Elephas maximus indicus: one gene and its partner. The protein of the gene in region 1 purifies or fractionates together with the protein of each later gene. This does not show direct contact. Links are inferred from orthologs where the notes say so. Each region holds a gene or a part of one and is shown on either strand. Other genes may lie near its edges.

Region 1 (15,336 bases):
TTGACATACTTTTTAATCATGCCTCTTACATAATGACCAAGTTTGCTCAAAGAGGAGCTGAATGCGTACTAGGTCTGAGTGACCATACAGTGTAACTGTGGTATCGGGGAGAGAAATCATCCGCTTACAGGTACATAACAACGGTGGCCCCCATGACCATGAGGAATCTGCTCAGGGAGGAGTAGAAGTAGAGGATACTGAGGAAAACGGAGAACGTAGCTGCAGAATAGGTCCAGTCCAACCAATCTCGGTTTATCTCGTCATCTTCCTCTACGATTGGGCCACCTTGTGCATTCATCCGCAAATTCTGATTGGCTGCAGGATTGACCACCACTTGAGGAGCAGCATTCTGGTTGGCTGGCTGGTTTTCAGCTGGAAACTGGTTGTGAATTGGGGCTGGAGCCGGTGCTGTGACCACAGGTATCTCTTGTGCACTTGGTGGTGGGACAAAAGCCCCCGAGGCAGCAGTGGCTGCTAAACTAAGATAAAAAAGACAGAGACAGGAACTGTTGGGAGCAAAGCACTGTGAAGACAGTGGCTCACCTAACCTTACCTAGCAGGGGTCTTTACTGTTAACAATCAGAAATAGGTACGTGCAGACTTGGTTCTTCTTTAACGTAGTGAATAACTTCATTGCTGAAGGTCATATCCATAAATGCCTTGTCTGTCCCTGAGAGAGGCCACACAATAAATTTCCTCCAGAATTAAACTTCACTGTCACTATAAAAGTATGGTGCAGGAGCAAATTAAAATTTTTACAAATGCAAAAAAAAAAACCTTAAAAATTGAAAAAAGAAAGGTAATATATTCTAAATAAATTCATCAGACTCTGTGCCAGACAAAAATCAATTCACAAATGAGGTAGCGCTTGTCACTTATACTCTCTTCCAGCCACAGAACCGGAGAGAGCAGGGCTCTGTAGAAATTGATGAAAATACACTCATCCTCCACTCTCCACTGTATAGGTGACATGGGTGGGACTGCCCTCATTCCCAGGAGCCCTGGCCACACCCACACTCACTACTGCATGTAGTACTGCCGGGCGTATATCTGCTGGAACCAGGACAGCTGCAGCCACCCATAAGTTGTGTAGCCCGTGAAACCAGGCCCCAGGCCTTGGAACGTCTGCTGGGCAGCTTCAGGTCTATAAAAGATTAAAAAAAAAAAAAAATCATTTCAAGTTGGTTTAGTAGAATAAAAGAAAACTAAGTTTAAATTACAAGCAGGGATTGGAGTCAAAGAGACAAGAAATGTCAAATGGACGTCCACTCTTAAGATGGAAGGATGGGCTTCAGGAGAGCTTTACGGTACACGGCGGTATGGTGCACCTGTGTAATGCAGGCACAGAAGGCGACGGCTGGTGAAGCCCTCCAACCGCAGTGCAGAGCCCACAGGAAGACAAGAGCCTCTTGTCCAGCACTGGGTTCTCATCATCCCAGTGACTACAGCGACTGGTGCTTGTTTTGCATATAGATGAAGTAAGCTGGACCTTTTCAGGTTAAGCGGATCCCCGCCTCACGTTTTGCCTTGCTTAGTCTCACTGCAGGCCAAATACACTGCTGATCCTTTAGAAGGCAGCTCTAAAGCCCCTTCTCACAAAGCCTCTCCTGACAGATCTCTGCCTCTTCTCTGGTCCTGGATCTCATTATTGGAGCCAGTTATGTGTGCATGTGGCATCACTTGTGTGTGCTGTTGACCACCTGGTGTCCTGTACAGGCTGCTGGGCCAGGCACCTTCAATCTATTCTCACTCGACCCCAAATGACCCTGTGGGGAGGGTCATCTCACCCCCACTATACCGAGGGGGAGCCCGAGTAGAGCTTAGGGAAGACAAGAGATTGGCACAAGGTCACTAAGCTAGTTAGTGACAGGGCTGGATTTGAGACCTGGTTTTCTTTGGTGCCAAACTCACACTTCTTTCAGGCAACACAGCCTTATACTGCCATGGGCCGGGGGGTGGGGGGTCATCTTTGGCTCCGTGCTTCTCACACAGAGCTCCTGTGACAGCACTTCGCAGCACTGAAATTATGGTAGACTTATGGGAAGATCCAGGGCTGGTTATGTGGTCATCTGTGCAGGCCAATATATATCTTTAAGGAAAGCTCTATGTACTGGCTGTTCAATAAATACCTGCTGAATGAAGTCACCTGGTTTTAATACGGTGAACTTCGCAAAGACATGGGCCGCAACTCTCAAGTCACACAACCAGAATATCCAATTATCCAATTTGTATGCTGACAGTCTATTAACCAGATCCCATACCCTGAGTGTTTCTGAAATAGTCCTCTAATACAATAGGTCTTGGTCTGATACTATTTTTGATCATTTACAAAAGCTACAGTGCATGAAGATGGGATGATAACAAAGAGCTTTCATTAATTTAGTTATATCTGATGATGGCATTATAGATATGCGAAATAACTAAAGTGTTTTTACAGCTGTATTTTTTTTTTTATATTAAAACATGAGACAACATGATAGCTGGGACTGACTTCTAAACACTTACACAAACAGGGAAGCAGGTACTAGAGGAAGCAAGTATGATGAAGCTTTGATCGTTTATTGGGCCTGGGTATGTTGATGTTATACAGTTCCCTCTGCTTCTGTGTTTTTAATATTCATGTTTTGATAAAGCCAGATGTTCGAGTTTTCTTTTTATTTTCATTAAGAAAAAGAAAATGCCTCAAACATCTGGCTTTATCAAAACACAAGTATTAAAAACTAGTAGAAAACTACTAGGGGGAGGTGAGTAGGAAAGTTTCAGAATTTCAACTCAGTTAACAGATTATTTTTTTCTGTAGGAACTTCCATAATCAGGTGTTCCTCCAAGGGCTAGAAAACCCCAGTGTCAGGACATTTAGTCACTTCTGGCTTTTGCTCTAAAGAAATGGCCTTTTTTCCTTGTATCGCCAACACAGTGCTTGGCAGAGCACTCCTTAAAGTCTCTTCACCTTTTGTCACCCATTGTTACAATAAACAAAGCACAAAGCCAACCAGCAAAGCAGCAGCAAGATGCCAATGACCAATTGCTTTTTCCCTGCAGCGGCGGGAATTAGGCAGGAATTCCCAATCTTCTTCGGGGCAATTGAGGGGTCAGCACAATGTAAACACACCCAGGTCGGAGGGACAGATGCCTACATTTTCCATACTCAGCCTCTGACTTTTTTACATGTTCTGAAAAGGCTGTGCATAAAGAAAAATTAAATACATACATGAACCCCTTTATAAAGTTTTGTGTGTTTCAATGTTTTGTGACTCTGTGTGTATAAAAACATGTTATTCTTAAATTCTTGCTAACGTTACACGCTCCTGTTGTATAAATTAGTCCTTTATAATACTCACTCACCTAGACATGTTCTCCCATCCAGAGGGAGAAAGGTTTCGAAGAGCCTCCCTTTGTCTTAAACCATCACTTGAGGAATCCCCAGGGTACTGTCCCTGATTAAGACCAGTGGGCTGCTCTGTGGATTCAGCAACCTAAATAAGGATAATGCGAACATCAGAACAAAGGATCTGATGCAACTGTGTGAAATCAAGCTAAAAGGCTGATTTTGCTGTGAATGGCTTAGGACCCCCACCCAAACCTCTGAACCTGACAAAATTAAATAGGTGCAATGGTATGTAAGAAAATGTCCTGAAATTTGTTCAACCCAATTTTCAATATATGGATACTTAAAAAAAATCTTTATTTTTCCTTAGAGTAACTACCCTATAGTTTCATTAAAGTCTTCCAACGAAGTTATCATTGGTGAGAAAGCTTAGATAATGCTCTATCTGTCTTACAGATGCTAAATTTACTAATTTGACTCAACCAGCAACCTAAAGGAAAGAGAATTTCCTATGCTACATTCAGATGTTTTAGGAAATGCAATGGCAACGCAAACTTAGAGAATGTCACCATGTCTAAACATTAATACTATACATACGCAAATAATCCTTGTGAAACAAAAAAATAAATGATTGACTGTCAATCATAAATGAGTGTCGTCGTTGTGCGCCCTGCTCGTTGGGTGATTCTGGTACATAGTTGTTGGGCAAATCACACCCCAGGAGACAGTGTGATGTGTAACTCTGCTTTTCCACTACAATCCTAATGGAATAGTCTGCTATATTACAGGAAACTCTCACTGGCGCTGATAACAGATTTCCTAATTCCTGATACTCACTGAGGAAGAAAAAAAATGTCACCTGGTAAAAATACAATAAAATCTCTCGTAAAGAATTTTATCCTACCTTCTTTATTCCTCCCTTGAGAGCCTGAATGACAAGATTGTTCCCGTCATGAAAAACCAGACATACCTTTGCACTGGTTTCTGGTGTTTTTGAAGGCGTCTTCACGTTGCACACCAGATGCAAAACATGCCGTTTTTCCTGCTAAAAGTATTAAGGAGGCACTTTAGAACCCGAATTCAATCTGGTAAGTGCTTAAGACATTCAAAAGTTCATGTGTAAGCGATGTACCTTTGGAAGCAAGTCCCTGAGACACTGGTGATCCAACAACAGCTTCCCAGAATAAATTAACCTCTGGTCCTCCGGACGCTTATCATGGAAAAGAAAGAGTCACACAGGTCAGCAGCATTCGGCCCCAACAAGTTCCCAAACACATAAAGGACTGTTTCACACAAATCATCAGAATATATGTGCTTTCCCCTATAGGAAAACACTTTTTCAAAGGCCTCATACACAGAACTTTTTATTTAGAAAGTGCTTAACTTTAAACTGATCAATAACATGCAGCAATTCTAAACTGAAGTCCTCAAAGGCTTTTCCTCACATACATATGCAGTTATAGAGGAGATGGTGAGTGGGAAACGGTCCACACAACTTTGTGGGAGTCAGTATCCCTACCTTCACGGGAGAAACTCTGAGAAATTGACTTGTCCAAGGTCAAGATCCCAATCCCTCTTCTCCTCCATACCAGGGATTTTAAAACCGTAACGACTCTAACACACTTTTATACAAAACTGACTTTTAAAATAGATTTTTAATGTATTTTGCACTTCTTTTAAAACCTTACTTTTAAAAACAATGGCCCCAATGATATATACCAGAGTACACTGGAACTCACCAACTTGTCAACCTACTCTTGTCAGAATAGCCAGTGACGCAAAACTTGGAACAAAGCTGTTCCTGCTAACAAGCCCGAGATTATAAAGCACGCTGTTTAAAACCAACGAAAGAAAATAACAAAAACTATGTGTGCTTATCTGCATAAATCAGGATTTTGGACGTTGTGGAACTACAACAAAATGCAGAACTCTATTGGGTGCAGCGATCACCACTGTTCTCACTGGCTGACTTTATAAGTAAATGCCATATATATGAATTTGTAAAATACTACGATATATGTGGGACCCTGCATTATACTGAAGATTTCTGCCACTAGAACTGTGTTTGAAAACTAGCGCCCTGTAGTAACAGCTGCCTGTGGATCTGAATTGTTTTCTCTTTTAAAGGCCTGACTTGACATTCTATGCCTTTACCCAGAAGACGCCATCTGAAAAAAAATACATTATCTTAAACAAACAACTGTTACAAAATAAAGCTTCTCACTTTATACCATTTTATACTCCCCCCGCCTAAAAAAAAATGAAGAACGTCCTCCAGGCATCCTAACTTTTAGATGTAACTTTGTATAGCTGAGAGGATGTTTTATTTAGAACTCTGGGTCTTCAAACACACCTATTAAGAGCGATGTTCCTAACCAGGGCAAGTCCTCAAGGAAAATGCTTCTCCACAACACTGCCTTTTACCCTATGATGCAACTAGAAACTACACCTGCTTCCCAGTTTGTGTACCTACTTGCCATTCTCACAGCCAAACAGCCACTTAGCTTCTTGGGAGCAGCTACCATAAAACCGCAAAGAATGCCAAGGTGAATTCTAAACGGCGCTGAGATAGAAACTTAAATAAATGAGCGAATTTCAAAATAACAACTCAGAAAGAAAATCCACTTCTACACTCCTAACGACAAAAACAACCTAACACAGGAGCTACACATACCAGAACCCTCTAGGGAAGGATTAGCAATTTCACAATTTTTTCCTGCCCCGGTGCCCTTTCCTGTTTAATCCAGAATTACAAACGTGGGCAGCACAGAACATTGCTGACATTTACCTAATATCCGAGGAGAAAGTAAATACAAGAGAGTCCAGAGCACAATCTCCATCACGTGGTGGGAAAGGAGGCGCTAAGGGTGATGTTGACAGATGTGCCAACCAAAACAAAGCAAGGAAGTCTCCGTAAGTGAGGGGCCAAAGTCGTAAAACCCAGACTCAAGGAAGCTCCTTCTGCCTGCTTCCCCACGAAGTCACTCTTGACCATAAAGTGCACCCGGCTCCTCCCTCGGACCCAGCAAAGGCTGCAGAGTCCAGCGCGACAGGGAGGGGCCGATGGCGGAAAGTGCACCGGGAGGGGAAGAGCCACGTCTTCCTCTTGGGTGTGGGACCTTAAGGACGCTGTGCCTGGTGCTCTAGCTACTGGCGCGGGGTGGCACCTGCACCCTCCTCTCCGCACTGAGCCGATACATTCATACAATTCATTTCACGGCATTTTTTATTTTCTTGTTTCCATCCATTGGATGCAATCCTATAAGGACACCTAGTAGCCCAGACGTCTGGGGAAACTAAGGCCTGGAGGGTGAAATGACTCACTCAAGGTCAAAATGCTGTTTCAGTGGCTTGGCTAAGGGTGGGACCTTGATCTGGGGCGAAGAGGAAGGGACCTGGGAGGTGGGGCAGGGCTGTGACAGCGTCTGGGGGCTTGGGGAAGTGGGGAGGTGGGGAGGCGAGATGACAGGAGACGGCAGCCCGTCAGGAAGGCAGGGTGATGGCGGCCAGAGAGAGGAGGCGACAGCCACCGGGCAAAGAGACGGGCGCCTACGGTACCGGCGGGCAGGGAAGGGGGGGAAGCCACAGCCTTGGGGAGGCGACCCGGCGGCCTTAACTGCCGCCGGAGGAAGGACAACTAAGGAGGAGGCTACTGGAAAGCGGAGGCGGACAGGGCATCCCTGGGAGGAGGGCTTGGGGGCTCCTCTCACCGGGCGCTCGGGGTAGACACGGCTCAGGTGGGCCTTGAGGTGACCCACGGTCCAGCTGCGTTCGCAGCTCAGCTCCAGGTCGCGGTGGCGCTGGTTGGGGCTCTTCACCAGGAGCGTGAGGGGCTCCAGTTCAGGCTGGGCATCTGGCTCCATGTCGGCTGCGCTGTGGGCTCCGCTACGCTCCGAGAAGCCAGGCACACGGCGCCGCACCCCCCCAGGCCCCAACGACGACGGTTCACGTCTCCCGGACGCGCGGCCCCGCCTCGGGCACCTTTTATAGGCACGCCGCGTCCGGGCCCTGCGACAGAACGCACTGTGGCTGCAGCCCATTGGCTGCGGTGGAGGCCACGGCCCCAACGTGGCCCAATCGGCGCGCGGATTGGGGCGGGCTGAGGACGTGGGCGTGGGCTGATGCAACCCGTCGCCGTTGCGTCAGCCCGAGCCGCGGCCGTGGCCCGGGAGCCGGGGTTCGGCGGCCATGTTTGGGTGCGTTGGACGGCGTGCGGGGCAGTTCGGCCCTGCGTCGACCAGAGAGCTTCGTAGCTCAGGTTGCCTGGGGCGCCTTAGGGAAAGCCATCCCACCCGGCCCCCAGCCTCACAGTCTCGGCAGATTGTTTCCTCACAAAGCAGCACCCCCGCCCTTTTTAACCCCGGGTACCAAGGCCAGCGTCCCCTTTTCGTTCTCCCAGGGGCCCGAGGACCTGCGGTTCCACAGCCAGTCAGCTCGAAGAACGGCTGGGTGGCTCCTATGGCTGGGTGGCTCCTATCGGCGAGCCCAGCCTGGAGTGCGCCCGGGATGTGCATTAGAAGGGCAAGGAAGAAGTTGCGCAGACATAGTGGTCTGGGCTCGTGGCCGAGAGGGTGAGGACATCCAAACGGCTGTTACCAATTTATGGCCTCTTGGTCTTGAACGTTACACCCTCAAGTGTGGAATATCATCCTTATTATGAATGGCAAGCAGGCCACAGTCCAGCTTACACTGGGAGACGCTCGAAAAGGATATGCACACATGGTTCCTTTCAGTTGGGACTGAGGCAAGGGAGGTTTCCTAAAATGTGACCACAAAGGCCTCTCTGTCATAGGCACTCCCTCCCTCCCTCCCTCCTTCCCGTCCGGAGGAGAAAATGTATTGAAAAGCAAAACTGACGTTGCACTGCCCCCATCCTTGTTCCAGCCCTGTTGGGACATTTGTTTTTCCAGGTGTGTCAGGGAGCCAAGGCTTGGTTTGGTAAGGACAGAAGGGTAGCAGGAGGAGCCTAGCGGCCTTAATATAAACAACATGAGGTGATTTCTTAGCTGTCTTTATACTGAGAACAATGGAGAGAGCCTTGGAGATAAATTGCCCTCAAGCTCAGCTTTCTAGGTTGGTTTTTGTCTGCTGAGGAGGGCTCGCTCTGTCCCTTTTCATCGTGGTTGGCTTCACGGATCGGGCCTGTGCAGTTAGTTATACAGGGCCCCATACTTGGTTTAGTGCTCTGCCATCGCTGTCTTGAAATTTTTAATAAACTGGAACAAGAGCCCCAGATTTTCGTTTTGTACTGGGTCCCACAAATCATGTAGCTGGTCCTTTTTATACCTCAAGATGGAAGAGAAAAACTGATTATGATCTGGTCTTGCTACTCATTAGAAGTTGACCTATGGGATAAGACCAGATGAAACAAGCAGAGGCCTTAGAGGGGACAGCTAGGCAGGAGATAACAGCTTCACTGGGAAATTAAGTATGCCACATGTCATGGATTGAATTATGTCCCCCCAAAAAGGTGTGTATCAATTTGGCTGGGCCATGATTCCCAGTATTGTGTGGTTGTCTTCCATTTTATGATTGTAATTTTATATTAAAGAGGATTAGGGTGGAATTGTAACACCCTTACTAAGGTCACATGCCTGATCCAATGTAAAGAGAGTTTTCCTGGAGTGTGGCCTGTACCACCATTTATCTTACAAGAGATAAAAGGAAAGGGAAGCAAGCAAAGAGCAGGGGACCTCATACCACCAAGAAAGCAATGCCAACAGCAGAGCACGTCCTTTGGATCTGAGGTTCCTGTGCTGAGATGCTCCCAAACCAAGGGAAGACTGATGACAAGGACCTTCCTCCAGAACCGACAGAGGGGAAAAAGCCTTCCCCTGGAGCCGGCGCCCTAAATTCGGACTTTCAGCCTACTGGACTGTGAGAGAATAAACTTCTCTTTGTTAAAGCCATCCACTTGTGGTATTTCTGTTACAGCAGCACTAGATGACTAAGACACCACATAACATGGTTTCGTCTGGCCTGTAGTAGCAAAGGTTGTTAATTGCCGTCAAGTCAAATCATAGCCACCCTATGTACAACAGAAGGAAACTGCCCAGTCTTGCGCCATCCTCATAACCTTTGCTATGTTTGAGCCCGTTGTTGCAGCCACTGTGTCAATCCATCTCGTCTAGGACCTTACTCTTTTTTGCTCACCCTCTACCTTACCAAGCATGATGCCCTTCTCCGGAGACTGGTCCTTCCTGATAACATGTCCAAAGTAGTGAGACAAAGTCTCGCCATCTGCACTTCCAAGGAACGTTCTGGCTGTACTTCTTCCAAGACAGACTTGTTCATTTTTCTGGCCAGACCTGTTTTTCTGGCAGTGCATGGTATATTCAGTATTCTTCACCAACACCATAATTCAAATGCATCAATTCCTCAGTCTTCCTTACTCATTGGCTAGCTTTCACATGCATGTGAGGTGACTGAAAATACCATGGCTTGGGTCAGGTGCACTGTAGTCCTCAAAGTGATGTCTTTGCTTTTTAACACTTTAAAGAGGTCTTTTGCAGCAGATTTGCCCAATGCAATATGTTGTTTCATTTCTTGACTGCTGCTTCCATGGGCATTGATTGTGGATCCAAGTAAAATTCAAGGTGTATGACAAACATTAGGACCCCTCAGGACATCTCATTGGTTTCCACTCAATAGCTGGGGAAAAGGTTATCCAATTTCTGTGATTCCCTCAAGTTATCTCATGAGGAGAGAGCTTCTTTTAAAGCACTTCTATGATTGTGTCTATAGCACATTTAGAAAAACATTAAATTCAAGTCAACACTGGCCGAGCCACTCCCCATCTCTGAGCCTCCATTTCCTCATCCGTAAAATGGGGAACATAATAACAGCCACTCCTAAGAGTTGTTGTAAGGACTGAAGAAATTAAAACCCAGAAAGCCCTCAGCAACATGCCTGGCATCCAGTAAGGGTGTAATAAATGTAGGCTGGTGTTAAAGCAAGCTGAGAGGGTGAGAGGGAGCACACAGCCTCTGGCCACAGAAGGTCACTTCATGACCATCGTGAGGCCAGGATGATAACACTGGGTGAGACAGGCCAGCCCCACTGACAGATGGAGCTGCTGGCCCTCCCTTCTGCTCACCAATCCTCTCCTTGTGCTCAGCCCAGTCGCTTTTCTGAGAGCCAAGAGGTAACCAAGTGTGGTCTGCAGGGCAGGGAAGGCTGCAAAGAAGGGGTGGGGAAAGCTAGCAGGGTGGGCTCCTCTGACCACCCAGTGGCGTCACTCAGGTTGATGTCACCCAGTGCAGTAACTCATGGTAACACCCCCCACATGGACCTCCTCCCATACTAGACCATAAAGAATCCTTAGTAATGTCTATTATCAATTTTAATCATAGAATAATATGTGATATAGTTGTAAATTACTTAAATGTAGTATTTCTCAAATTATATAAATACTAACAACAAAATTGTTTTGTAAAATCTTTTGACGTTGAATTACAACATTATTAGTTTTAGAAAAAAAAAAAAAGCTATGTCTTTAGAATAAATTTCCAGCAATGGTTTTAAAAAGAAAAAAAAATTCAAGTCAACAAATGTGCCAGGACTAGGATGATAAACAATCACAACCTTGTCCTTAGTGACTTTACAAATATAATGGGGATGATAAGACAGTACAAAAATAAAAGACAACCCAAATGTCTCATAGGTTCCTGGGGGACCTGTGAGAGAGGCAGAGAGGAGGAGTCAGAAAAATTGATGGAAGGGGTGGAATTTGAGCTCAGGATGGAGGATAGGTGGGATTTGAAAAATACACACATATGACAGCCTCTATTGCTGCTATGAGTTAAAATCAGCTCAATGGCAACAGATTTATTTTATTTTATTGATTAACTACCACCCGTCTGTCAGTTTGTGGTACTGCTGTGGCTTGAGTGTTGCTATGAAACTGGAAGCTATGCCACTAGTATTTCAAATACCAGCAGGGTTGCCCGTGGTGGACAGGTTTCAGAAAAGCTTTGAGACTAAAAGAGACTAGAAAGAAAGGCCTGGTAATCTATTCAGAAAATTAGCCAATGAAAACCCTATGGATTACAGAATTTTGTCTGAGACTTCAACTTGCTTGCTTTGGACACGTCACTGAGAGGGACAGATCAGTGGAGAGGGACAACACGTTTGGCAAAGTAGAGAGCCAACAAGGGTGAGGGAGATCCTTGATGAGAGGGATTAACTCAGTGGCCACAACAATGGACTCAGATATGCCAACAATCATGAAGATGGTGCAGGACCAGGCAGTGTTTTGTTCCATTACACATGGGATCACCACGAATCAGATTCAACTCAACAGCAGCTGATACTGGTAACTGGTATACCCATACAATGAAGCACTACTCAGCAACAAAAAGGAATGAACTACTGATACGTGCAACAGCATGAATGAATCTCAAAACCATGCTGAACAAAAGGACCAGACACAAAGGAGTACATATTATATGATTGCATTAATATGAAACTCAAGAACAAGCAAAACTAATCTATGGTGACAGAAAGCAGATCAGCGGTTGCCTGGGGATGGGGGTGGCAGAGAGAGTTTGGGAGGGGGTCTGGCAGTGGTGTGCCGATGCCGTCTTATATCGGTTCAGGAGTTGATTGTGAGCCTCTTTCCAACGCTGCTTTCAGTGACATCAGGTTGATAGCTTGAAATTGGCCAAATGGGAATATTTGCACCAGAGAGATCAGCAAATGCTATAAATCAGAGCTTTTTTTCTCCCTCAAGGAGCCAGTTATTAAACTTTTACCAGCACACTGCTGGGCATGAGGGAACTTTCTGGGGTGATGAAATGCTCTCTCATGTTGATAGACGAGTAGTTTATACATTTGTCAAAACTAATGAAACTATACACTTAAGACCTCTGTCTTTTACTATCATAAATTATAACTCAATTTCTAAAATGAAAAACAATTAAAAAAGGACAGCTGTCTGGGTCCCACTGCAGGCCTACCAATTGGGCATGATGCATCCAATTGGGTTCTGGTTCTAGGGCAAGGTTTAGGAACTACTGGCTAAGTGTGACAGTAAGTACAGGATTTATTTTAAAATAATAATAATGATAATGTCACTGACCCCCAACTGTATGTCAGTTTGTCATACTGTGGGGGCTTGCCTGTTGCTGTGATGCTGGAAGCTCTGCCACCAGTATTCAGATACCAGCAGGGTCACCCATGGAGGATAGCTTTCAGCTGAGCCTCCAGACTAAGAGAGACTAGGAAGAAGGACCCAGCAATCTACTTCTGAAAAGCATTAGCCAGTGAAAACCTTATGAATAGCAGCGGAACATTGTCTGCTATAGTGCTGGGAGGTGAGCCCCCCAGTTGGAAGGCACTCAAAAGATGACTGGGGAAGAGCTGCCTCCTCAAAGTAGAGTCGACCTTAATGACGTGGATGGAGTAAAGCTTTCGGGACTTTCATTTGCTGATGTGGCACGACTCAAAATGAGAAGAAACAGCTGCGGACATCCATTAATAATCGGAACCTGGAATGTACAAAGTATGAATCTAGGAAAATTGGAAATCATCAAAAATGAAATGGAACACGTAAACATCGATATCCTAGGCATTAGTGAGCTGAAATGGACTGGTATTGGCCTTTTTGAATTGGGCAATCATATAGTCTACTGTGCTGGGAATGACAACTTGAAGAGGAATGATGTTGCATTCATCATCAAAAAGAACGTTTCAAGATCTATCTGGAAGTACAACGCTGTCAGTGATAGGATAATATCCATACGCCTACAAAGAAGACAAGTTAATATGACTATTATTCAAATTTATGCACCAACCACTAGAACCGAAAATGAAGAAATAGAAGATTTTTATCAGCTGCTGCAGTCTGAAATTGATCGAACATGCAATCAAGTTGCATTGATAATTACTGGCGATTGGAATGCAAAAGTTGGATACAAAGAAGAAGGATCAGTAGTTGGAAAATATGGCCTTGGTGATAGAAACAATGCCGGAGATGGAATGATAGAATTTTGTAAGACCAACGACTTCTTCATTGCAAATACCTTCTTTCACCAACATAAACAGCGTCTATACACATGGACCTCGCCAGATAGGACACACAGAAACCAAATTGTCTACATCTGTGGAAAGAGAAGGTGGAAAAGCTCAATATCAGTCAGAACAAGGCCAGGGGCCGACTGTGGAATAGACCATCAATTGCTCATATGCAAGTTCAAGCTGAAACTGAAGAAAATCAGAGCAAGTCCACGAGAGACAAAATATGACCTTGAGTACACCCCACCTGAATTTAGAGACCGTCTGAAGAATAGATTTGACGCGTTGAACACTAGTGACTGAAGACAAGACAAGTTGTGGAATGACATCAAGGACATCATCTATGAAGAAAGCAAGACGTCATTGAAAGGACAGGAAAGAAAGAAAAGACCAAGATGGATGTCAGAGGAGACTCTGAAACTTGCTCTGAAACATCGAGCAGCTAAAGCAAAAGGAGGAATTGATGAAGTAAAAGAACTGAACAGAAGATTCCAAAGGGCATCTCGAGAAGACAAAGAAAAGCATTATAATGACATGTGCAAAGAACTGGAGATGGAAAACCAAAAGGGAAGAACACGCTCATTGTTTCTCAAGCTGAAAGAACTGAAGAAAAAATTCAAGCCTCAAGTTGCAATACTGAAGGATTCTATGGGGAAAATATTAAACGATGCAGGAAGCATCAAAAGAAGATGGGAAGAATACGCAGAGTCATTACACCAAAAAGAATTAGTCAATATTCAACCATTTCAAGAGGTGGCATATGATCGGGAACCGATGGTTGTGAAGGAAGAAGCCCAAGCTGCTCTGAAGGCATTGGTGAAAAACAAGGCTCCAGGAACTGATGGAATATCAATTGAGATGTTTCAACAAACAGATGCAGCACTGGAGGTGCTCACTCATCTATGCCAAGAAATATGGAAGACAGCTTCCTGGCCAACTGACTGGAAGAGATCCGTATTTATGCCTATTCCCAAGAAAGGTGATCCAACCAAATGTGGAAATTATAGAACAATATCATTAATATATCACACACAAGCAAAATTTTGCTGAAGATCATTCAAAAACGACTTCAGCAGTATATCAACAAGGAACTGCCAGAAATTCAGGCTGGTTCCAGAAGAGGACGTGGAACCAGGGATATCATTGCTGATGTCAGATGGATCCTGGCTGAAAGCAGAGAATACCAGAAGGATGTTTACCTGTGTTTTATTGACTATGCAAAGGCATTCGACTGTGTGGATCATAACAAATTAAGGATAACATCGCGAAGAATGGGAATTCCAGAACACTTAATTGTGCTCACGAGGAACCTTTACATAGATCAAGAGGCAGTTGTTCAGATAGAACAAGGGAATACTGATTGGTTTAAAGTCAGGAAAGCTGTGCGTCAGGGTAGTATTCTTTCACCATACCTATTCAATCTGTATGCTGAGCAAATAATATGAGAAGCTGGGCTATATGAAGAAGAACGGAGCATCAGGATTGGAGGAAGACTCATTAACAACCTGCGTTATGCAGATGACAGACTTGAAGTACTTACTAATGAAGATCAAAGACCACAGCCTTCAGTATGGTTTGCACCTCAACATAAAGAAAACAAAAACCCTCACAACTGGACCAGTGAACAACATCATGATAAACAGAGAAAAGATTGAAGTTGTCAAGGATTTCATTTTAGTTGGCTCCACAATCAACAACCATGGAAGCAGCAGTCAAGAAATCAAAAGTTGCATTGCATAGGGTAAATCTGCTGCAAAGGACCTCTTTAAAGTGTTGAAGAGCAAAGATGTCACTTTGAAGACTAAGGTGCACCTGACCCAAGTCATGGTATTTTCAATTGCATCATATGCATGTGAAAGCTGCACAATGAATAAGGAAGACCAAAGAAGAAGTGATGCCTTTGAATTGTGGTGTTGGCGAAGAATATTGAATATACCTTGGACTGCTAAAAGAATGAACTAATCTGTCTTGGAAGAAGTGTGGCCAGAATGCTC
Region 2 (16,128 bases), on another chromosome or scaffold:
CTCTTAGCCTAAGACAGGAACCATTCCCAAAGCCAACTCTTCAGAAAGGGATTGGACTGGACTATGGGATAGAAAATGATACTGGTGAAGAGTGAGCTTCCTGGATCAAGTAGACGCATGACACCATGTGCGCAGCTCCTGTCTGGAGAAGAGACGAGAGGGTGGAGGGGGTCAGAAGCTGGCCGATTGGACACGAAAATAGAGAGTGGAGGGAAGAAGTGTGCTGTCTCATTAGAAGGAGAGCAACTAAGAGTATATAGCAAGATGTATATAAGTTTTTGTATGAGAAACTGACCTGGTTTGTAAACTTTCACTTAAAGCACAATAAAAGTGAAAAAAAGAAAAGAAAAGTTGATGTCGAGCCCGACTCATAACAACCTTATAGGACAGAGCAGAGCTGCCCCATAGGGTTTCCAAGGAGCAGCCGGTGGATTTGAGCTACCAATCTTTCAGTCAGCAGCCATAGATCTTAATCACTGTGCCACCAGGGCTCAAAATAAATAATATATGAAGTCGACCTGGTGGAGGCTGACCATTCAGAATACTTGCCTTATTTATAGGCAGCTCCAGTCAAATCATGGCCCTTCAAGTCTATGGGCCCAATGCAGCCAGACCAGCCAATTTTGAAACAGAAACTTGAAATCTGAATTTGTTTGGGAAATTTGCCAAGTTTTAGGGGTTGGCATGCAAAAGCGAGTCCGTAAATTGCAGGTTTATAATTTATGTCTTAAAGATTAAAGTGAATATCTAACACTAGAATTTCTGGATGCCCAAGAAATTTGACAGGAACTTAGACATTAGTTCTTTTATGCAAACTAGATAAAAAGCATAATTATTATAAGTTTTATATAAGGAGCACAAAGTCAGAACTAAAGTGATAGATAAATTGAACGTATATTGCCAGAATAGAATTATTTGCCTGCCAGGTAGACTGTATCTCTGCTCTGATCCTTTATTAGCATTTTTTTTGTTTCATTTTTTAATCTAATTTACCAAGAACAAACATTTATTTTAATAGCGAAGATTCATTTATTACTCATTTTATTGTCCTTCTCCTGTATTTACTGCCTGTAACTACAGCCCTGAAGGGGATGCATATTTGTCCCATTTTAGCTGGAATAAAAGCCGAGGTTCAGAAAAGTAAATGAACTGTTTAAGGTCACACAGCTATAAGTGACAGAGGGGGAGTTGAAACCCAGGTCTGTTTGGTTCGGTCTATGCTCTTGCCACTATAACATCCTGTTGCCTCTCTAGTTCTGACTGTATATTTGCCCCCTGTGTTCATGAGCAGGACTGGGGAGCAATCATGAAACTTCCCTTAGGTTCTGTAGATAACACTCCAGGAAGACAAAACAAAAACAATTGCCTTCCAGTCGACTCCCACTCATGGTGACCGCATGTGTGTCAGAGTAGAACTGTGCTCCAAAGGGTTTCCAGTGGCTGAATTTTCAGAGGTAGATTGCCAGGCCTTTCTCAGGAAGACAGCACAATATTTGATTAGTAGGGTCACCTCCAGACTTCAACAGCAGGGATTTTTTTTTTTTTTTTACCATTACAATGTGTCTGTTTCTTCTGGTGCCAGTTAGATTTTACCCAACAATATTTTTTTTAATAGAATATAGAATACTGCCTCTACTCCAGGTATAAATTTACCAAGAAGTTTTGTCACTTTGGGCAAATATATAGCTACATTCTTAACCATACTCATAAAAAAAAAAAATACATGCATATAAAATGAAATTTTACTCTATAGATTATTTTTCTGCCATTTACATTATTGTCAACATTTTTCCTATTATTGCTGCAGGGCAAATTCTTTCAGGTTGACCATTAAAATTCATAAAAAGGAATTGCTCAATAAAATTTTCTACGTATTTTATTAAGCTTTTGGTGTTTATTAACAACTTGCCCTTCAGATAAGTTGTAATTACCAAGAAACCTAATCACCAGAGGAGTATGAAGTACCTGTTTTCAATAATAGCAATAACAGTAATAATATTCATGTATTGCTTACTATGCATGAAGTCCTGTTCTAAGTGCTTAATGTATGTTAATTTACTTGATTCTCAAAACAACACTTCATTTTCTAAATGAAGCATATTGAGATATAGAGAGGTTAATTATTAAGTGTGATCATATTATCTCTGGCATTGTTTCTATCACCAAGGCCATATTTTCCAACTACTGATCCTTCTTTGTTTTTTCCAACTTTCGCATTCCAATCACCGGTAATTATCAATGCATCTTGATTGCATGTTGGATCAATTTCAGACTGCAGCAGCTCATGAAAATCTTCTATTTCTTCATCTTTGGCCCTACTGGTTTGAATAATAGTCATATTAACTGGTCCTTCATGTACGCATATGGATATTACCTTATCACTGACAGCGTTGTACCTCAGGATAGATCTTGAAAAGTTCTTTCTGATGATGAATGCAACACCATTCCTCTTCAAGTTGTCATTCCCAGCACAGTAGACTATATGACTGTCTGTTTCAAAATGGCCAATACCGGTCCATTTCAGCTCACTAATGCTTAGGATATCTATCTTTATGCATTCCATTTATTTTTGACAATTTCTAATTTTCCTAGATTCATACTTTCTACATTCCAGGTTCTGATTATTAATGGATGTTTGCAGCTGTTTCTTCTCATTTTGTGTCATGCCACATCAGCAGATGAAGGCTCTGAAAGCTTTACTCCATCCATGTCATTAAGGTTGACTCTACTTTGAGGAGGCAGCTCTTCCCCAGTCATCTTTTGAGTGACTTCCAACCTGGGGGGCTCATCTTCCAGCACTATATCAGACAAGGTTCCGCTGCTATTCATAAGGTTTTCACTGGCTAATGCTTTTCAGAAGTAGACTGCCAGGTCCTTCTTCCTAGCCTGTCTTAGTCTAGAAGCTCAGCTGAAACCTGTCCTCCATGGGTGACTCTGCTGGTATCTGAATACCGGTGGTATAGCTTCCAGCATCACAGAAACACGCAAGCCCCCACAGTACGACAAACTGACAGATTGACTATACACATGGGCCTTGCCAGATGGAACACACAGAAATCAAATTGACTACATCTGTGGAAAGAGACGACGGAAAAGCTCAATATCATCAGTCAGAACAAGGCCAGGGGCTGACTATGTAACAGATCATCAATTGCTCCTATGCAAATTCAAGCTGAAACTGAAGAAAATCAGAGCAAGTCCAGGAGAGCAAAAATATGACCTTGAGTATATCCCACCTGAATTTAGAGACCATCTGAAGAGTAGATTTGATGCATTGAACACTGGTCACCAAAGACCAGACGAGTTGTGGAATGACATCAAAGGCATCATCCATAAAGAAGGCAAGAAGTTATTGAAGAGACAGGAAAGAAAGAAAAGACCAAGATGGATGTTAGAAGAGACTCTGAAACTTGTTCTTGAAAGTCAAACAGCTAAAGCAAAAGGAAGAGTCGATGAAGTAAAAGAACTGAACAAAAGATTTCAAAGGGCGGCTCCAGAAGACAAAGTAAAGCATTATAATGACATGTGTGAAGAGCTGGAGATGGAAAACCAAAAGGTAAGAACTTGCTCAGCGTTTCTCAAGCTGAAAGAACTGAAGAAAAAATTCAAGCCTCGAATTGCGATAGTGAAGGATTCTATGGGGAAAATATTAAACAATGCAGGAAGCATCAAAAGAAGATGGAAGGGATACACAGAGTCATTATACCAAAAAGAATTAGTCGATGTGCAACCATTTCAAGAGGTGGCACATGACCAGGAAGCGATGGTACTGAAGGAAGAAGTCCAAGCTGCTCTGAAGGCATTGGTGAAAAGCAAGGCTCCACAAATGAATGGAATATCAATTGAGATGTTTCAACAAAGGGATGCAGTGCTGGAGGTGCTCACTTGTCTATGCCAAGAAATATGGAAGACAGCTTCCTGGCCAACTGACTGGAAGAGATCCATATTTATGCTGATTCCCAAGAAAGGTGATCCAACCAAATGTGGAAATTATAAAACAATGTCATTAACATCACGTGCAAGCAAAATTTTGTTGAAGATCATTCAAAAACAGCTGCAGCAGTATATCGACAGGGAACTGCCAGAAATTCAGGCCGGTTTCAGAAGAGGACGTGGAACTAGAGATATCATTGATGTCAGATGGATACTGGCTGGAAGTAGAGACTACCAGAAGGATGTCTATCTGTGTTTTATTGACTATGTAAAGGCATTCGACTGTAGGGATCATAACAAATTATGGATAACATTGCGAAGAATGAGAATTCCAGAACACTTAATTGTGCTCATGAGGAACTTTTACATAGATCAAGAGGCAGTTGTTCGGACAGAACAAGGGGATACTGATTGGTTTAAAGTCAGGAAAGGTGTGTGTCAGGGTTGTATTCTTTCACCATACTTATTCAGTCTGTATGCTGAGCAAATAATCCAAGAAGCTGGACTATATGAAGAAGAACAGGGCATCAGGATTGGAGGAAGACTCATTAACAACCTGCGTTATGCAGATGACACAACCTTGCTTGCTGTAAGTGAAGAGGACTTGAAGCACTTACTAATGAGGATCAAAGACCACAGCCTTCAGTATGGGTTACACCTCAACATAAAGAAAACAAAAATCCTCACAATTGGACCAATGAGCAACATCATGATAAACGGAGAAAAGATTGAAGTTGTCAAGGATTTCTTTTTACTTGGATCCACAATCAACAGCCATGGAAGCAGCAGACAAGAAATCCAAAGACGCATTGCACTGGGCAAATTTGCTGCAAAGGGCCTCTTCAAAGTGTTGAAGAGCAAAGATGTCACCCTGGAGACTAAGGTGCGCCTGACCCAAGCCATGGTATTTTCAATCACATCATATGCATGTGAAAGCTGGGCAATGAGTAAGGAAGACCGAAGAAGAATTGACGCTTTTGAATTGTGGTGTTGGTGAAGAATAATGAATATACCATGGACTGCCAAAAGAACGAACAAATCTGTTGTGGAACAAGTGCGGTCAGAATGCTCCTTAGGGGCAAGGATGGCGAGACTGTGTCTTACATAGTTTGGACATGTTGTCAGCAGGGATGAGTCCCTGGAGAAGGACATCATGCATGGCAGAGTATAGGGTCAGTGGAAAAGTGGAAGACCCTCAACGAGGTGGATTGACACAGTGGTTGCAATAATGAGCTCAAGCATCACAACCATTGTAAGGATGGTTCAGGGCCGGGCAGTGTTTCGTTTTGTTGTGCACAGGGTCGCTATGAGTCGGAACCAACTCGACGGCACCTAACAACAACAACAGTGTATAAATTTGACGCTGAGTTCATCCACATAGTACCACATGAATCAAATATCATTAAACAGATGTTTTGTTAAGAATGCAGGTTCCTGGATATCATTTATATCAGTAGGTTTGGCATGAGGCCTAGAAATCTGCATTTTTAGACAACTCCTCAGACTACTCTTAGTGATTCTCATTGTCATTATTTCTAAATTCACTCTAATAAAATCTTTGTTTTGCACTTTTTCTCAAGTGTTTGGTTTTTTAATTTCCAAGTGTTTGGATTTTTTACTTACATTTTCATTATTAATATCCAGGTTTATTCTATTGAGGTTAAAGAAGGTGGCCTGTAACATTTTCTTATTTTTCTCTTTAGTTTTTTGAGAAATTTAAAAATATAAAAAATATAAACAGTATTTATTATAAGAAATACTCATATTCCCACTACCTAGAATTAACTATTGCTGATATTTTGCCATATTCACTTCCACTCTAAAAATGAAACACATTTTTACAAATTTAATTCAAGATCCGTTTAATCACTATCCTCTATGCTGTTCCATTTCCTTCTCCTTGTGGGAAACTACCGGTGCAATTTTTGTATAAATCACTCAAATATACTTCTTTTTTTGAATAATAATTTTTGTGTTTTCTGTGAAGATTTACACATAAGCTTAGATTGTCATTCAACAATTTCTACACAAGTTGTTCAGTGACATTGGTTACATTTTTCGTAATGCGTGAACATTCTCATATTTCCATTCTGGTTGTCCTGTTTCCATTAATCTAGTTTCCTTGCCCCTTACATTCTCATCTTTGTTTTAAAGTTATTGTTGACCTTTGGTCTCATGTAGGTGGCTTTTTAAAAGAGCACCGTACCTAGTGGTGGCATTCACTACTTTTTTTTAGCCAATTTGTTATTTAGCTACAAGGAGACTTCAAGGATTAGTTTTGGTTCAAGGTTTGAGGAGTAACTCAGTACAATACACTCGAGGAGTCCTCCAGTCTCAACCAGTCCAGTGGATTTTTTTTTCTAGGAATTTGCGTTTCTGTTCCACATTTTTCTCCCATTCTATCATGGCCCTGATTAGAATTGCTGGTAATGGCAGTCCAGCACCATCTAGCTCTTCTGGTCTCAGGGTAGATGAGGCTGTGTTTTATGTAGACTATTTGTCCCATAGACAAGTTTCTGTTTTGAGTTTTGGGTTTCCTTCTTTCTCTTTTGCTCCGCACAAGTAGAGGCCAATAATTGTATCTTAGATGGCCGTTCACAAGCTTTTAAGACCCCAGGCACTACTCACTAAACTAGGGTTTAGAACATAACTTTATGAATTATATTATGCCAATTGACTGAGATGTCCCATGGGACTACAATCCTAATCCTTCAAATCCAGAAATCTAATCCCCCAAAGATATTTGTTTATGTGTAAAAAGTATCAGTAACTGTGCCACCTATGTGCTTTATTATATATATGAATGTATGTGCATACAGTCACACAGATTCATACACATATGCAAACTCCTATATATACACATATATATACCCATACATAAATATGGAGCCCTAGTGGCTCAGTGGTTAAGCACTCAGCTGCTAACCAGAAGGTTGGCAGTTCGAACCCACCAGCAGCTACAAGGTAGAAAGATGTGGCAGTCTGCTTCTATAAAGAATTTACAGCTTTGGAAACCCTATGGAGAAGTTCTACTCTGTCGTATAGGGTCACTATGAGTCAGAATCTAGTGGAATATGTGGCAATGGGTTTGGTTTTTTTTTTTGGTGTTATACACAAATATGCCTACATACATACATATATACCAGCACATATATTTTTTGGTTGTTTTTACTGTTGTTTCAAAAATTATACATGCAGTAGCAATTACCAGTATTTCCTTTTTATTTGTGTACTTTTTAATGACATTGTTTAATTTTGTCAAGCTGTGTACAGTTCACTCTCATTTGGTATTACCTTTTCCTTCACCAAAAAAAAAAACAGGTATCTACTACCTATAGAGTAAATCTCGACCCCCCCCCCACCCCCCCGCCTCTTGCCTCCCATCCCTGGTAACCACTAATGTGCATTGGTTTCTGTTTATTTACTTGTTCGTGTCATTTCATAAAAGTGAGAACATACAGTATTTACTGTTTTGTGATTGGCTTATTTCACTCAACATAACATCCTTCAGGTTCATCCATCTTCCAAGATGTTTTAGGAACTCATTTTTCTTTATCACCGAGTAGTATTCCATGTTCTGTACATACCACATTTTACTTATGCATTCATCCTTTGATGGGCACTTAGGTTGTTTCCATCTTTTTGCTATTGTAAATACCATATTTTTATGCCCTCCGCCCACCCCCACCCCCCTCCAGACACCCTCACAAGGGCAAGCCAAGCCAGTCCTCTTCCACTTGTTGCTGCAAAAAAAATTAGCATAGCATGCTTTTGAAAATACCTGGGGTGGGGGAGAAGGGAGGGAGGGCGAGGCCAGCAAAAAAAACACGGAAGGCACAAGTTATTTGAGTAAAAATGCTGTATGTGCTATGATGAATACAGTTGTGCATATGTCTGTTTGTGTCACTGCTATTAGATCCCTAGTGTATATACCTAGGAGTGGAATTGCTGGGTATATGGCAGCTCTACCTCCAGTTTTTTGAGGAACTGCCAGGCTGTTTTTCCCAATGGCTGTGCCTTTTTGAATTCCCAATAGCAGTGGATGAGGGTTCCAATTTCTACACATCGCTTCCAATTTCTACACATCGCTTCCAATCTAGTATACTTTTAATAATTTCACATACACATGAATTCATCTATAAACACCTAGAGTATTGTTTTTCATGTGCTAGTTAGTTTTCAGAAACCCTGGTGGCATAGTGGTTAAGTGCTACCGCTGCTAACCAAAAAGTCAGCAGTTCCAACCCACCATGTGTTCCTTGGAATCTCTATGGGGCAGTTCTACTCTGTCCTTTAGGCCACTATGAGTCGGAATCGACTGGACGGCAATGGGTTTTTGGGTAATTAGGTTTCTGAGATTTATACATATTGGAACATTTAGATCTGGTTCATTTCTTTTACTTACTGTATACTATTAATCATATTCATCATACTATGTTAACCCATTCCCGATTTATGGACATTAGGCACCATATTTTTTTTTCTTTGTCTTGAGATTTATTAAGGTATCTGTGGCCTAATGACTTCAAATGTTGTTACATACTCTTTGGATACTAGCGTAAAAATATTTCTATATACGATTTTTATATCAGAGTTAGATATTTATACATAAATTTGAAATTATTTCTTTTGTTATTCAAGTTCTCTTTCTCAGCACTGCTACATCTTTATTTCTCCAACTTAATCTGTAAAGAAGTTAGGTAAATGTGTTAATGTATGCCACTACAATTTTGTGCCTGTGAATTTCGACCTATAACCTATCCCTGAAATAACTTTCTGATTTTCAAAAAGTTATACATCCAGTGCCTACTTGTAAAAGCCATCAGAAAACTGAAAATCTTATAAGAAGATAAGAATTGTACATAATTTCAGCATTCAGTAATAAGCATCATTAACATATCAGTGTACAGACCGTCCCCAGGTTACAAAAAAGATCTGTTGTAAGTGTGTCTTTAAGTCCAATTTTTAAGTAAGTCAGAACAGGTACATGTATGGTTCTTATTTAGCGTCAGTTAGTAAAATGTTTGTCTTAGTATATAGTATATATTGCACTTTTTTATGCATATAAAAGACTTAAAAAACACTTCCAAACCCACAATGTTTTCATGAGTGTCACAAAGTAGTGCCTGCGTTTCTGTGATTACAAACCATTGTATGTATTTAACTCAAATTTTTAATATAATAGGGTTTATGGCAGTCCATTCTTAAGTAGGAGTTGTCAGTAGGTTAGCCATTCTAATGCGGGGACTGCCTGTATAGTGTCTGACTTACTTTTATACATACACATACAGTTTACATACACAAACTATTCAAAAATTTATTTTAAAAGTGTCTTTATTGTATTTTTGGTATTAAAATGTACATTCTTGTAAAAATTTTAACTATAGAAATACATAAAGTGAAAATAGTCTAGGATCTCCCTATAACTAATGTCTGTTTCACTCAGGATTAAAGATTGTTTATATCATATAAATAGTCATTTCTAAAAAACATGATGCGTATGATTTTATTGTAATATCATCATACATTTGACCATTTCTGTGTAAAGGCACTGTCTTTTTTAAATAATAATTTTATACATGTGTATTTTTGCATCGTTATCTGATTATTTTCTTAGCCCAGGTCTCTAGTTGATGCATTTCTAAATAAAGGTGGACATATTTAAAATGCTGATCGTATTTTCAAATAACTGTAAAAGGATTATAACAATTCACAGCATGAAAGTGCATTTTCTCAACTCCCTGCCAATGGTAAGGTTTATTTTTCTTCTTAGCCAACAAAAGCCAAAAATGGAATTTCATTGTTTTAATATCAATTTCATTGATTGCTAGTGAGTTTGATCATTCTTTTCTGTCTGTTGTCCCTTTGCACTTCTTATGTAAAACGCGTGCTCTTGCCCAGTCTTCTCCCCTTCCCCCATTAGCGAGTGTTCCTCTTTTCCTTTGTCAGAGTTCTTTATTATTCCTTTTTCGTCTTTTGCAGAGACTCTTGGATTCAGGCTTTCCGTCTTAGATTCCGACTCAGAGCGACCCCATAGGGTTTCCAACGCTATAAATCTCTACGGAAGCCGACGGCCACATCTTTACTGTAGTGGCTGGTGGTTTCGAACTTCCGACCTTTTGGTTAGCAGCCAAGCGCTTTAACCACTGCGTCATCAGGGCTTCTTTTATTGCCTTACAGACTGCTAATATATATTCTCCGTTTGTCTTCTAATGTCCTTTACAGACACTTACTTCCTTCACTCCCTCCCTCCCACCCTTCCACTCTCCTCTTCTCCCTCTCCTTCTTCCCCTTTCTTCCCCTCTCCTTCTCTCCCTCTCTGCCCCTCTCTCCCTCTCTCCCCTTCAGTACAGAAGTTTTTAATTTCGACCGAGTCAATTCTATCAATCTAGGCCTGGCAACGTCAACTGGGCGGGTGGGGGGGGGGAGGCGGGCTTAGAGCTGGGGGAGGGGAAGGGGCGGGGAGGAGCGGGCGGAGCAGTTTGCAGGAGCTGCTGGGAGTGCGCGCGGTGGGATCACACGGCGGCTGCTGAGGCTCAGAGCCCTGAACGCGGATATCTCGGCCCGCGGCCTACGCCAGCCCTCTCACCACCACCACCGGAGGACCAGGGAACCGCAGCCTTCAACTCAGAGGTACGGTGCTAAGCGCTCCCCACACGGTCCGGCCTAGCCTGCTGTGGCGGCGCCTCCTTCTTTCTTCCCTCGCTCTCTCGCTCACCAGCCCGCGCCTTCCCTGCCTGCCTGCGTCACCGCGGCCGCCATGGCTGAGAACGGCGAGAGCAACGGCCCCCCGCACCCCTCCCGCGGCCCTGCTGCGGCCCAAGGCTCGGCCACTGCCGCCGCGGAACCCAAAATCATCAAAGTCACTGTGAAGACCCCCAAAGAGAAAGAGGAGTTCGCGGTGCCCGAGAATAGCTCGGTCCAGCAGTTTAAGGAAGCGATTTCAAAACGCTTCAAATCCCAAACCGACCAGCTAGTGCTGATTTTTGCCGGAAAAATCTTAAAAGATCAAGATACCTTGATCCAGCACGGCATCCATGATGGACTGACTGTTCACCTTGTCATCAAAAGCCAGAACCGACCTCAGGGCCAGTCCACGCAGCCTAGCAATGCCGCGGGAACTAATACTACCACGGCATCGACTCCCCGGAGTAACTCCACACCGATTTCCACAAATAGCAACCCATTTGGGTTGGGGAACCTGGGAGGACTTGCGAGCCTTAGCAGCCTGGGCTTGAGCTCGACCAACTTCTCTGAGCTCCAGAGCCAGATGCAGCAGCAGCTCTTGTCCAGCCCTGAGATGATGATCCAAATCATGGAAAATCCCTTTGTTCAGAGCATGCTTTCGAACCCCGATCTGATGAGGCAGCTCATTATGGCCAACCCACAGATGCAACAGTTGATTCAGAGAAACCCAGAAATAAGTCACCTGCTTAACAACCCAGATATAATGAGGCAGACCCTTGAAATCGCCAGGAATCCAGCCATGATGCAAGAAATGATGAGAAATCAAGACCTGGCTCTGAGCAATCTCGAAAGCATCCCAGGTGGCTACAATGCTCTGAGGCGCATGTACACTGACATTCAAGAACCTATGCTGAATGCTGCACAGGAGCAGTTTGGGGGTAATCCGTTTGCCTCGGTGGGGAGCAGTTCCTCCTCCGGGGAAGGTACACAGCCTTCCCGCACAGAAAATCGAGATCCACTACCCAACCCATGGGCGCCACCACAGGCTACTCCGAGTTCTGCGACCACCAATACCACTACAAGCAGTGGGAGTGGATCTGGCAGTAGCTCCAGCAATACTACTGGGAACACAGTGGCTGCAGCCAATTATGTCGCCAGCGTCTTCAGTACCCCAGGAATGCAGAGTCTGCTGCAACAGATAACTGAAAACCCCCAGCTGATCCAGAATATGCTGTCTGCACCCTACATGAGAAGCATGATGCAGTCCCTGAGCCAGAATCCAGATCTGGCTGCACAGATGATGCTGAATAATCCGCTGTTTGCTGCAAATCCTCAGCTGCAGGAGCAGATGCGTCCACAACTCCCAGGTTTCCTGCAGCAGATGCAGAATCCAGACACGCTAGCAGCCATGTCAAACCCAAGAGCAATGCAAGCTTTAATGCAGATCCAACAGGGTCTGCAGACATTAGCCACAGAAGCACCTGGCCTCATTCCAAGCTTCACTCCAGGTGTGGGGGTGGGGGTGCTAGGAACTGCCATAGGTCCTGTAGGCCCAGTCACTCCCATAGGCCCTATAAGCCCCATAGTCCCATTTACCCCCATAGGCCCCATTGGGCCCATAGGACCCACTGGCCCCGCAGGACCCCCTGGCCCCGCTGGCTCTGGTGGCCCTGCTGGCTCTGGTGGCCATACTGGGTCCACGGTGTCTAGCTCTGCACCCAGTGAAACCACGAGTCCAACATCAGAACCTGGACCAAACCAGCAGTTCATTCAGCAGATGGTGCAGGCTCTGGCTGGAGCAAATACTCCACAGCTGCCGAATCCAGAAGTCAGATTTCAGCAACAACTGGAACAGCTCAACGCAATGGGGTTTTTAAACCGTGAAGCAAACTTGCAGGCTCTTATAGCAACAGGAGGCGACATCAATGCAGCAATTGAGAGGCTGCTGGGCTCCCAGCCATCCTAATTACATTTCTGTACCTTGAAAAAAAACGTATCTTATTTTTGATAATGGCTCTTAAATCTTTAAACACACACCCGTGCTTTACTTTCATTTTGATTCTTTTAAATCTATCTGGTTATAAATCTAATATGATGCATTTTAAGGTGGAGTCCCTTCCCTTTCCTTCCCTTTTTCCTTCTGTTTCCTTCCTTCTCTGTTGTGAATGGTGGGAATCAATACTGTTTCACTCAGAAGTGCTGCATGCAAACACTTCTTTTTACTCTGCATTTATTGTGATTTTTGGAAACAGGTATCAACCTTCACAGTTGGGTGAGCAAGTTTTGTCCTACAGATGTCCAGTTTATTTGCATTTTAAACATTAGCCTGTGATAGTAATTTAATGTGAAATGAAGATATTAGAAGCAAACTATTTGAAGCACTCTAATTTGTGGTATAATATTGCTTATTGTGAGTTTGGCATGTATTTTTGCTAGAAAAATGCTGTAAGATTTATACCACTTACCTTTTTTGCTATATTTGTACACAGTACAGTAAGCACAATTGGAACTGTGCATCTTTTAGAGATTGCAATAGACTGAGCAGAATATGTGTAACCAAAATGAGAAAGAATAAATATTTCTGAAACTAAGTACTTCTCCCAATTTTGTAGAATCTTACAGCATCTTTGATGAACTCAGTGAAAATGTTGGCTAGGCAAGTTCAGTTAAAATATAGTAGAAATGTTTATCCTGGTTATCTCTAAGTATACATTTAATTGTACAGAAAACTGTCAGTGTAACATTGTGTCAGCACTTACAGATTGTATATGATCTTAATCTTTGTGCAACCTGAAGGATCAGTGTAGTAATGCCAGGAAAGTGCTTTTCACCTAAGGCTTTCTTCTCAGCTTCTTCGATAAAGAGACCCTAATATGCATTTTGATTTGTAATTGGAAATGTAACTTTTCCTGAAAGTGTCATGTGGTGTTTGAATTACTTCTAACTGATATGTATAAAGGAAACTGTATCTTTTGACTTTATCAGTTATTTCTCTTGTGCACAGGGAAAATGCATAAAAAATGACTAAAAAAATAATAAAATAATAAAAAATGGATAAATCCTTTCCTTTTTGCCTTCTGGCCTTAGGATCATGTTTTGAAGGGTTGCCCCACCTCAAGGTTCTGTAAATCTTATCCTATATTTCTTTCTTTAACTTATCATTTTATTTAAAAAAAAAATTATTTTTGGGCCAAATGGAATTATTTTGATGTACAAGCCACCTTATTGCCATCCAGTTGATTCTGACTTACAGGACTCTGTAGGACAGAGTAGAACTGACCCCATAGGGCTTCTAAGGCTGTAATCTTCATGGAAGCAGACTGCCACATCTTTTCTCCCTCAGAGTGGCTGGTGGATTCAAACCACCCACCTTTTGGTTGGCAGATGAGCACTTAACCACTGCACCACCAGGGATCCTGATGTATAGATTTAGGTATTCTAACTCTTTTTCCCCAAAGGATTAGCCTGCTATTAGCCGGTAGTTCATCTCCTTCCATTTGAACTTTCATTTGTATATGTATATATACATTTTTTATACATTTAATACACTTTATATAAAGTGTATGTATATATACACTTTATTCTGTGTTTGTATTCTTTTTAGTATCACTGAACTATCTGAGTAAGTCATCTGAGTAGCCTGAGTACATCAGCCTCTAGTTATTAGAAATAAGACTTCATATCTTGAGTCCTCCTCTTGATCACTTTTTTTTTTCATAATTTTCTGATGATCCTGACGTGTTTATTTTAACCGATGAACTTTACAGTTAATAGATCCCCCCCCAAAAAATAAATTGGAAATTTGGTTATTGCCTCAAATTGATAAGATGTTGAGAACAGAATTGCAATTCTTTCCAGAAACACAGTATGTTGCCTCCATTTTAAAAAGCTTTTTACATCCTTCAAGGAAGTTTTAAGTCCTGTATAATTATTGATACTGCGAGTGGGAGCCCTTACTCATTGTGTTACCTATATGATCATGGTTGGAGAGGAATTTATTTTCATAGATTAAAATTAGACAATTTATTAAAGTATTAATATATTAATTTCAAAGGTATTCAGTTGATCCTTTTGGATTTTCTAATAGGCAATCATATATCAATGATAAGTTATAATACTATGTTCTTTGCAGAATTTATGACAGTTTCTGACTGCATGGCTTAAACACTTCCAGAGTAGTGCTAAGTAATAAAGGTGGCAGCGGCATCCTTATCTTTTTTCTCATTTTAACCAGATTACGTTTGCTGCAACAATCCTAAATTGTGTTTTGTGAAACATCCTTCTGAGAGATGATTAAGCAATTAAGTTTGAAAAATGCTGTATACTACATATACTCTTTCTTTGAGATTTATTGTACAATAAATGTTGGCTAATGTTATTTTTTAATGAGTAAGTTCTTACAATTAAAAAAAAACTGTTAACTTTTTAACTCAGCATTTCCCAAACTTACTTGAGTAAAGGACCACTTTTTTTCTTTTAAACACACCTAGTAATATTTGGCCTACCACTGTTCTTCAGAAAACCAACTTAGGAAATGGTGATTTATTACTTCACTGCTATATGGTGGTGAGTGTTTGAGATAATCACAAAGTCTGCTGTAATAAATTTTAAAATTTTAACGAAATGGATGATTTTACAGGAAAATACTAAAACCAACCAGAGGCATAAGAGAGCAATAAGTCAATAACCATAGGAGAACCTGAATGCTGTCTGAGGCCTGGCCCAGACAGTTTAGCAGGTAAATTAATTTCAAACATTCAAGAAACAGAAATCTTAATTTGCCAAATGTTTATCTATTTTTAATCTATTTTTGTTTTTCTCCCTGAAAAGATCCAAGTCTTTATTAATTCTAATGTTTCTCCACTTTCCAGCTCATAAATTTTTGTTTGTAACTTTAATTATTTTGGCTTCTTTTTTATTGCTTTTAACTGCTCTTCTTCGATCCTTTGCATAATGTAATTTTCTCCTATTATGTTGCAGGCCCTTTTTCCAGGCTCTGTTGGGTTTTTTGTTGCTGTTAGGCTTTCTTCACATACTATTTATCCATTTATTCATCATTGAGTCAAGAAAGGTATCTATGACCTGCTATCCATTCTCTCCAATAAGAGAATAGAGGTGATTTTCGTATTCTGTCACTGTTTGCTTGGTTGTCACCCCCTCCCCAGGCCTACACTGGACGGCTGGATGGTGTAAGTTTGGTCTAGCAGGGTCAGGTAGTAGGGAGCTAGGGCCAAGAATAACCCCAACAAGAAGATTTCACCCGTAGGCAGCTTTCCACATTTGCCCTTTTGACCTCTGCTTCAGGTATGTGGTATATGAACTCTCACCACTTGTGTGTGGTTGGGGGGGGAAGTGATAATACAGCATTAAAACAAGCCCTGCTGCTGCAGTAAAGAGGAATTTTGTATCAGGTGGAGACCACCATGTTAGGTGAGTAATCACTTCAGGAGACACCTGTAATTGGATGTGGCTGAGCTGGCCCGCTGAGAGGAGGCAGCCTGCTCCAAG

Evidence for each region.
Region 2: the proteins of HERPUD1 (region 1) and UBQLN2 purify together in Homo sapiens (affinity purification with mass spectrometry; 3 studies listed by BioGRID, with this or other methods). This does not show direct contact. The link is inferred for Elephas maximus indicus from reciprocal best matches to the Homo sapiens genes HERPUD1 and UBQLN2.

Annotation. Positions count from the first base shown.
Region 1 is NC_064839.1:23,864,736-23,880,071, reverse strand, and holds the start of HERPUD1 (homocysteine-responsive endoplasmic reticulum-resident ubiquitin-like domain member 1 protein), read right to left. Parts: upstream 7,283-15,336; 5' UTR 7,192-7,282; coding exon 7,039-7,191; intron 4,539-7,038; coding exon 4,461-4,538; intron 4,374-4,460; coding exon 4,299-4,373; intron 3,477-4,298; coding exon 3,346-3,476; intron 1,145-3,345; coding exon 1,022-1,144; intron 480-1,021; coding exon 129-479; intron 1-128. UniProt on the Homo sapiens protein: Component of the endoplasmic reticulum quality control (ERQC) system also called ER-associated degradation (ERAD) involved in ubiquitin-dependent degradation of misfolded endoplasmic reticulum proteins.
Region 2 is NC_064846.1:111,488,426-111,504,553, reverse strand, and holds UBQLN2 (ubiquilin-2), read left to right. Parts: upstream 1-10,414; 5' UTR 10,415-10,693; coding exon 10,694-12,586; 3' UTR 12,587-13,692; downstream 13,693-16,128. UniProt on the Homo sapiens protein: Plays an important role in the regulation of different protein degradation mechanisms and pathways including ubiquitin-proteasome system (UPS), autophagy and the endoplasmic reticulum-associated protein degradation (ERAD) pathway.